Nothobranchius furzeri: one gene and its partner. The protein of the gene in region 1 purifies or fractionates together with the protein of each later gene. This does not show direct contact. Links are inferred from orthologs where the notes say so. Each region holds a gene or a part of one and is shown on either strand. Other genes may lie near its edges. The genes, in order: snu13b and nop56.

Evidence for each region.
Region 2: the proteins of snu13b (region 1) and nop56 fractionate together in Homo sapiens (co-fractionation; 3 studies listed by BioGRID, with this or other methods). This does not show direct contact. The link is inferred for Nothobranchius furzeri from reciprocal best matches to the Homo sapiens genes SNU13 and NOP56.

The regions. Positions count from the first base shown.
Region 1 is NC_091756.1:29,118,832-29,123,421, forward strand, and holds the start of snu13b (NHP2-like protein 1), read left to right. Parts: upstream 1-1,579; 5' UTR 1,580-1,757; coding exon 1,758-1,760; intron 1,761-1,922; coding exon 1,923-2,043; intron 2,044-4,590. Other genes in the region: uqcrc2b (cytochrome b-c1 complex subunit 2, mitochondrial), read right to left, coding at 829-861.
Region 2 is NC_091743.1:55,550,368-55,554,919, reverse strand, and holds the start of nop56 (nucleolar protein 56), read right to left. Parts: upstream 2,808-4,552; 5' UTR 2,668-2,807; coding exon 2,665-2,667; intron 2,201-2,664; exon of another isoform or gene 2,079-2,200; coding exon 1,989-2,078; intron 1,915-1,988; coding exon 1,800-1,914; intron 1,565-1,799; coding exon 1,400-1,564; intron 1,161-1,399; coding exon 962-1,160; intron 612-961; coding exon 424-611; intron 376-423; exon of another isoform or gene 257-375; intron 185-256; coding exon 33-184; intron 1-32. UniProt on the Homo sapiens protein: Involved in the early to middle stages of 60S ribosomal subunit biogenesis. Required for the biogenesis of box C/D snoRNAs such U3, U8 and U14 snoRNAs. Part of the small subunit (SSU) processome, first precursor of the small eukaryotic ribosomal subunit.

The DNA of each region.
Region 1 (4,590 bases):
AATCTATAACTGCTCTAAACAATTAATTTGCATCTTTATCACATATTTACGGGTTATTGTACAAAAACTAGTTGTATTTACTGTTGAAATACAATCAGTTTATAGAAAACACGCTTTAGATTTATCATTATCAGATTCCTCATTGCCAGATTATAATCCAAACCAGTAGACGATGGACATCAGGAGACAGCCACTGATGCTGGTAAATCTTTTAAGGCACCAATGACTGTCCATCTTTAATTTCACATTGAACCAACTTTAAAGAGAGATAACCCACCCTGAATAAGTGTGTGTTTTGTGTGTCCCCGAGTGAATGAACAGTTGGGATTTCCTTTTTGTTAATTGCATGTTTTAAAATGTGCTTTTGTCGTACAAAGATTGAAGGTTTCTTTCCAAATGAAAATCACTTGATAATTTTAGTCTTCATTCACCGATCCAGATATGTATTTGAGTGAGATACACACACCTAGAGTTAAGCCTTCTGAAAAATGCTAAAGCTACTACGTACCCTCTGGTATGCTAACTAGCCTAGCTAGCTGCTAGTTGTTAATTATCTTACATTTAAACAATTGAGGAGTCAGTCATTAGAGCCTAACACAGTGGAGATTAATTCATGATCATATACATACATGTCTAGAAAAATAGTTATTCTTGGTCACATCAAGTTTTCAGATTAAACAGTCATGTCAAGCTTAGCCGGCTGCTTGTTCCAAGACAAGACAGGTATGGTTTAAAACCACCCAAAGACAGTTAGTGACAGCGACTGGATGGGATGGGAACACTGATCCCGTCACGCAAACTTTCAGAACAAATAAAGTCAGCTCTCACCGTTAACTGACTGATTCCCCGAATCCCCTTCATCTCTCCTGTCTCCTTCAGCCAGGACAACGATACAATATGGCTGAATGGAAAGTGCCCTACCCAGAATGCATAGCGCGTTCATCTCTAGCTTGCATAAACCGCGCGCCCTCTTCAGACCAACAAATAAACTGCATCAACAATTTTTCCAGATCTAAAATCACAAAAAACAAAGAGTTCGAGAACAGCAAATGGGAAATATGAATCAAATTGATTGTGTGTGGAAAATAATTGGCAAATTAAATCTGATTAGATCGTGACACTGATTAATATTTTGCATTTACATAATTAGTAATTCTATAATTAACTTTCCATCATCATCATCATCATCATCATCATCATCATCATCATCATCATCATCATCATCATCATCTTTATAAAGCATTTTCCCACAACTAATAGTCACAGTCCACAATTTAGAAAAAAAAACGACTTCATGAAAGCCCACAAACGCCTCAGGTTTAAAACGAAAACGGGTTCAAAGATAAAAAGTCTAAACCTTCTTTCATATTTTTGTTTTTTTTATTAAAGGTTTATAAGATATCCCCTCGACATTTACAGTGTCATAAAGCAATACACACCATGATACACACTCGAAAGCTGTTTTAAAATAACTTTATTTGAACTTTAGAAAGTATTTTTCAGTTTGTTCATGTTGTTTGTTAATAAAGTTTGTTTTGAAAAAATTACATTCCCTGTGCGCATGTGCAGCCTGACGACCATCACACACGTGGGGTCAACGTTTGGATCTAGTGCATGCTGCAGATAATAGTCGTTTTGTGGCGCTATTAAAACTCGAATGAAACAAGAATAATTCACGTTTCGATTGTATTTATATTCTGAAGACAAATCAAATAGTCCTCCGTGAAGCATTTCGCCGAGAGGGCCGGATTACAAAAATGGTGAGCTTAGTGTAAGAGCTAATAGGCTAACAGACGGGCTTGCATGTAGCATGAATAAGAACACACGGTTGTGCGCTTTCTTAAAATAAGATAATGTGATTTTTGTTAAAGCTGGTTTGTTCTGTTGAAGCTTATTTTGAACCTTCTCATTTTTGTGACCAGAGTGAGCCCCAAGTGAACCCAAAGGCCTACCCTCTGGCCGACGCCACCCTGACCAAAACCATCCTGGACCTGGTGCAGCAAGCCTCCAACTACAAGCAGCTGAGGAAGGGAGCTAACGAAGGTGTGGAAACTATTCGGCTATTTTACTCAACATTTATAACAGAATTTGTAACGAAACAAACGTAGAAGGTGAAAATTTTGCTTTTACATGTAATTATTGGATCATAGGCCGTGTTCTCACTGCTGACTCAATGGTCGAACCAGAATTTCTTTCTCAGATGTGACCCACTTCTGCTTTTTATGACCCACATCTGCTTTTAATGACGTTCACAACACATATTCGTCATAATTATCAAGTTAGACCTGGGTCCCTTTCATATGTAATACTTTAAATCTGAATTTTACATCGACATGTGACAGATGTTCCTATCCTGCGGCAGAGGAAGCAGGAAGCTCTTCTTTACATGTGCGTGTCTGCAGCGCTGTACACTTGCCTCACTGGAGGCTGATGGCAGCTGCATTATCAAAAATTAGAATGGCGCATTAAGACCAATCCATCTATTTTCTTCAGTTTATCCGGGGTCGTGTCACGGCAGCTGCAGTCTACGTCGAGAGGCTTATACTTCCCTCTCCTCAGCCACTTGGGCCAGCTCCTCCCGCAGAATCCCAAGGTCTCCCCTGGTCAGCCATGACATATACAGTGCCTTAACATGCACACTAGAGAACCAAAGTATTGCCCTAAAAAGACTTCTGTAGTTTTTTAAAATGCATATAACGCGTTAGTCTGGCTGAAAGGGAATTGGTTCTAATCTAGTTCAAATGATAATGATAAATGACCCGCACTTGTGTAGCGCCTCTCAGAGTAAGGACTCCAAAGCGCTTTACTCTACAGTGTGTAATTCATCCATTAACACACACATTCACACACTGATGGTGATTAGCTACGATGTAGCCGCAGCTGCCCTGGGTGCACTGTCAGAGGCGAGGCACCCAGATAATACAGTAGCAAGGAAGCGCTGTTGAACGACGGGCGCTTTGTCCCTGTTAACCTATGCTCTCAGTCACATCAGCTGGGAAGCGCCACAAAGGCTCGCTCCGTGCAGCGATCATTTTGGCGTGAGCTCTATTTTTACGTGAGCCGTGAGTGAACAATTCTGGCAGGAAGTAAACTAAAGCAGAAGAGGCAGGCTGGTAAATTTAACAAAAAAAAAATTCACAATAAAACACTGCAATTGATAAAAGTGATCATGTTTGTGTATCTAAATAGACTAGAGAGATGAAAAGGAACAAACACACACCTGCAGAAAAACGTAGTGTTACCATAATTTAAAATTCAGTGTTTACAGCAAAAGATGGATTTAATAAATGTGAATACAAACAAATGCACAGCAGCAGAATCAGCACAGTGTCCAATATCAACAAGCAAGGCAAACTGGTTACACACACACACACACACAGAGCAAGGGCATGTTTAGAAAACAGTAGGCGTGAGCAGAAGTGCTCGTTGAAAATTCTCGCCTGATGTGACCAGAAGAGGAGCGGAGAGCGCACAAATTTTGTGAGCAATCCACTCCGCGGTTCTTCGCAGCTGGTGTGTTCTGGGCATAAGTCTCCTCCCAATTGGACGTGCTTCTCTCAATGTGGAGGAGCAGCGGATCTACTCCGAGCCCCTCCTGTATGACCAAGCTTCTCACCCTATCTCTAAGGGAGAGCCCAGACACCTAGTGGAAAAAACTCATTTTGGCTGCTTGTATCCACAATCTCATTCTTTGGGTCAATACCCAAAGCTGGTGACCATAGGTGAGGGTAGGAACGTAAATCGAAAGCTTCGCCTTATGGCTCAGCTCTCTTCTCACCATGGCAGACGGTACAATGTCCGCATCTCTGCAGACTAGGGCTGGGCAATAAATCGAAAATGTATCGTTATCAAATTTTCTGACTTATCGAGATAATTTTCCCATGTCAAGATGTGTGTAGGTTGTCAACGTTCATGTCCCTTTAAGAAGCTGTACCACCTCGTAAAAGTATGACTCAATGTAAAACATGTGACAGCCCCATCTAGTGGACAACTTTTGTTTCTGCGCATTCCTGTAGTTATCGTCCGTTTATCGTTATCGAGGTGAAATCCTCATCGTGATATTGATTTTAGGCCATATTGCCCAGCCCTACTGCAGATGCATCACCAATCCACATGTCGACCTCATGCTCACTCGTGAACAAGACCCAGAGACACTTAAACTCCTGTACTTGAGAGAGGACCTCATCCCTGACCCGGAGAAGGCATTCTACCCTCTTCCGACTCAAGACCATGGTCGCTGACATAGAGGAGCTGATTCTTATCCCAGCTGCTTCAAACTCTGCTGCAGACTGCTCCAGTGAAAGCTGGACATCACGTTCTGATGAAACTAACAGGACCACATCATCTGCAAAAAACGGAGACTCAATCCTTCGGCCACCAAAACAGATCTCCTCCACACCTTGGCTGCGCCTAGAAATCTTGTCCACAAAAGTTATGAACAGAACGGGTGACAAAGGGCAGCCTTTAAGACTTACAATGTCATTTTAGTATTTTACATTATCAAACGCAGTCTACTAAAATAATGCCATATTTCTCAAATATGTGGCTTTTGGGTTGTTTTTAAACAATTCTGCATATACAAATGCTAAA
Region 2 (4,552 bases), on another chromosome or scaffold:
CATAAAACTAGATTAAATAAACTTGTGCTCACCACTTCTCCGATTAAGGCCGCCAGGTTTGGTGCCACCTGGCTCATCTTGGAGCGCAGGTACTCCTGCAGCCCCAGCCGATAAGCAGCCAGAGAAACGACACGATTGGAAAACCTCTCAATGTTGATGAGGTCGATGGGAGAGATGTCCATACCTAAAATAGAAACAACCCGGAAGTGGTGAGCAGAAGGAAATTCATGATTCTGTTTGGTTATCTGAACCATGAGCTTGTTTCTCCCGACAGGATCCGCAGTGAGGGTTTGTGCCTTCACTACAGGTTTATGAGAGAGTTTCTTTACCCCCCTGTGTTAGACACCAAGGACATTTAGAGGTCCAGGTGGGCAAAAAAGGGGCACAAGTTAAAGCAGGAACACATTAGCACATGTTACTCACCCATTGAGGAGCGAGATGCATCCAGGATGGCCTGGGCCTTGGTGCTGTCCATCACCACTTCCTCCAGGCTCTCCAAACTCTCCTCAGACAGCTCCTTTCTGTTACCAATCAGCTGCGCCAGGCGACAGTACATGGAGTTTTCAGGGACAATCTTAATCAGCTCTGGAAAGTGGTAACCATACCACTCACTGGAAATAAAACCAAAACCCTTGTGTAAAAACAGGTGGTACAAGCTTAGGGTTTTTGGTGATTGTGACAAATCTCAATACAACCTGTCTCACCCAACAGTGTTGCCCTACTAGACTAAAGCTAGCACAGCACAAGCGTTAGGAGAGGTTCCTGTACCTCCTGTTTCTATACAGACAGCTCTCTGTGGTACGCTGCCTGTGGTAAGCATTAGGAGGAGTGCTCAAGAAAACATTTCACTTATGAAATTAAAGAAAAATGAGCTGAAACGCTCAGCAGAAACATTTCTTACAGATTCTAACCAGTATACCCCACATATGATCAAATATAAACCTTCAGATCAGAATCCTACCGGACACGCATAGAGAATGTGTTGATGTCTTTGTCGAGCTGATCCAACAGAGCGATGGACTGGATGATCATGTTGTCAGCCCTGTTGACGTTAAATTTGACTTTAGCTCTGGAGTAGCTGTGACCGAGACCCAGCTGTGCCTTGGATGCGGCCTGGGCAGTCAGACCCTTCACCAATGAGTGGAAGTGCAAACGCAGGCCTGTTTGAATCAGAGAAATGGCTAGGTGTGTTAGTTCGTACTGGGAGGGAATAGTGAAAGAATGCTGTTTTTTGATGGCTGTTCAGATTTTCAGTATGAGCCTTCATGAGCATCAGGATCACAAGATCACATCACAACAGCTTTGAAATGTTCAGAAGACGTGAAGTCAAAATCCATCTGTAAGTGACCTGATTGTTATGGCTTCTTAGATCGAGCCATTAATAAAACTTAATTCTCACCTCTTGTTATTTCAGCCACCACGCCACCAGTCTGGATGGAAATATTAAATTCTTCTTGAAGAGCAGCTCCAATTTTGGCATCAGAAACTCCCAAAACAGCCTTCTTTTTTGCTGATTGGGGTAGGTTTGTCTCCAAAAACAGCTTGAGATCTGCATGAACCACACCTACAAACAAATAATCATAATTACCATATAAATATTTTTAAGGTAATTTATTTAATCCACATAAACAGAAGTTGGGTTAACAACTGGAGGCTTAATCCAGACCACATGGAGATCCTCAGATGTTCAGAGTTCACATTAGGCTGTCATCATATTAACTCAGTGGATTGACAGATTATAACACATCATTACTACTGAGGATGATTTAATCTCAGTGAGACAAAAACTGAACACTAACCTTCAGAAATCGCGTTCATATTCTCCAAGGCTGTCTGGGCCGACTTAAAGGGGAAGAAGGCGGCCAGGTTCACTATGCTGTTGAACTTTGCGACGCTTAGCACGCTCTCCTCTACCTGTCAGACATAAACAGTGAGCGATCTCAGCTCCGGCAGGCGAGAATCTGGGGTTTGATAAATCCTGCACTCACCTGTGGCAGCAGCATTCCGATCTCCTCCACCTCTCTGACGGCGAACAGCGCGTAGCCCGCCGCGTGCTCGAACAACACACGGAGCACAACCTGCACAAGATAAATCAGAAACAGGGTTTGACACAACTTAAGGCGTCGGAGGGAAGCTTCCTGCTCGACGGAAGTGTTAACACTAGACTGCACGTGGTCACCAGGAGGCAGCCCTAATTTAGGTATGTTGCATTCAGCTTACTGTCCTGTGTTCACTTTACGTGTCCACTTTTAAAGTTCAACAAACTAACACAACTATTTACCCGTAACCACGTCGCCTTGAAGAACCCACGTGTTGACCCGGGCCCACGTGAGCGCGCTAATAACCTAGCGTGCTAACAGCCTAGCAAAAACGTGTTGCTTTTAGACAGTAAAATTCAGTTGCAATCCTCTTGAATACGACCAACTTATTCAGGTGTGTGATTTCTGTTCAAACATTTAACCGTGAAATATAATAATATTCCCACTAACGTCAACCAAAGACGGTTTCCTGCTCCTCTGATGCTAGCAGGCCTTCGACGTGACTTTAGTAACGCCTCTAAAACTAACAATGTCTTTTTAAAAGTTCACTAGTATAAAAGAGTAACTAACAGTAACGAAGAAAACTTTGGAGCAAGGTTTGGATAGTTAGATTACCGTTTCTTACCATGTTTGTTAAATCTCTGCAGCAGCACGCGCCGCGTGTCTGCTAGTTCTGCTTTACCTTTCGAGAAAGACGTTTCACTGAGCTGGAGCGTGCCCCAAGTACCGCGTTATCTTCCTATCACCGCGAGATCTGAAACTGCTGCAGACCTCACATCTGCAAAATCTGCTTATAATCAATCACACTGAAGTTTAATTGGCGTCTCAGGCTAATTAATATGGAAGCGTATGTGTTACAGAAATAATATTATGCAGTAGCAGAAATGATATTTCATTTTCATATTACCACTGCCAAATTTGACTCATAAATAAAATTAACAAGCAATCCTCTGCTTTTTAACTTTCTTCTTCATCATTGCTTATTCTGTGACTTAATGAAAAGAATAAAGAAAAACACATTTAAGATTTAATTTTTAAATAACACTCCAGCAAAAATGTAACAAAATTAAATTTGAAATGTCAAATTTGAAAATTAAACTGCATTAGAAGAAATGCTATTTCATATTCACAACACAACTGCATAGTGTGATTCACAATCAAAATGAAAAAGCATTTCTCAAAACTGCTTTTTAAGTTTCTTATTCATCATTGCTTATTCTATGACTTCATGAAAAATGATAAAGAAAAAGGCATTTGAGAACTAGTTTTCAAATAACACGCCAGCAAATGTGTAACAAAATTCAATTTGAAATGACAAATCTGAAAATGAAAATGCATTTGCAGAAATGCATTTTCATTTTCACTTTACAACTGCTTAGTGTGACTCACAATTAAAATGATATAGCAATCCTCTTTTCAACTTTCTTCTTCATCACTGCCCATTCTGTGACTCAATGAAAAGGATAAAGAAAGAGGAACTGGTTTGTCTTTTTCATGCCCGCCCTGCATTAAGTTCCATAATTCAAATTTTTTTTATTATTTTTTTTTATTTCTGCTTTTAAGATCTTACAAAAACATTCCTGAACATTTTGGATTAATATACAACGTTATTGACTAACAGCACGTACACATCAAACAATATAGCAAAAGAGAGAGAGAGAGAGAGAGAGAGAGAGAGAGAAGGAAAAGATATAAATAAAAATACAGAGAAGAAAAATAAACAAAACAATGCTCTGAATGGCTGAAGAACAACAAAATGAAGACTTTGGAGTGGCCTAGTCAAAGTCCTGACCTGAATCCGATTGAGATGCTACTACATGACCTTAAAAATGACAAGACGACAATGGCGGCGGCGGCAGTAGCACGCAGCGGCCACTCCGGAGCCAAATGGTGCAACGTTGTTTATGTTTGTGCATTGTGGTTTTTATTTTTTACTCCATGTATGAATATTGTATGATTCTACCTACATACTAAATAAGTTTACGGTTTTTCTTTTTTTCCTTTGTACTACCTACTTAGAGAGGACATGTCATGTTAGGTCAGTCTGTTCTGTCCTTAGATAGTGTGATCTCCCTGTTATTTTTATGTTGTAAATTTATGTTGCATGTAGCGCCTTGGTCCTGGAGGAACGTTGTTTCGCCTCACTGTGTACAAACCGTATATGGCTGAAGTCAAATTCAAAGTCATTTTATTGTCATTTCTACTACATGTGCAGGACATACAGAGAAACGAAATTGAGTTTCAGTGCACACAATTCAAAGATCAGACATACATGGGTAAGACACATGACAAGAATTGGTGACTGCGATCATTCGGAACATGAGTCGCGCTACCTTAGTAACAATAAAGTCTAATTGATTGATTGATTGATTGATTGAAAAGGCGGTTCATGCTAGAAAACCCTCAAATAAAGCTGAATTACAACAATTCTGCAAAGATGAGTGGGCCAAAATTCCTCCAGAGCGCTGTAAAAGACTCGTAGCAAGTTATCGCAAAAGCTTGATTGCAGTTAT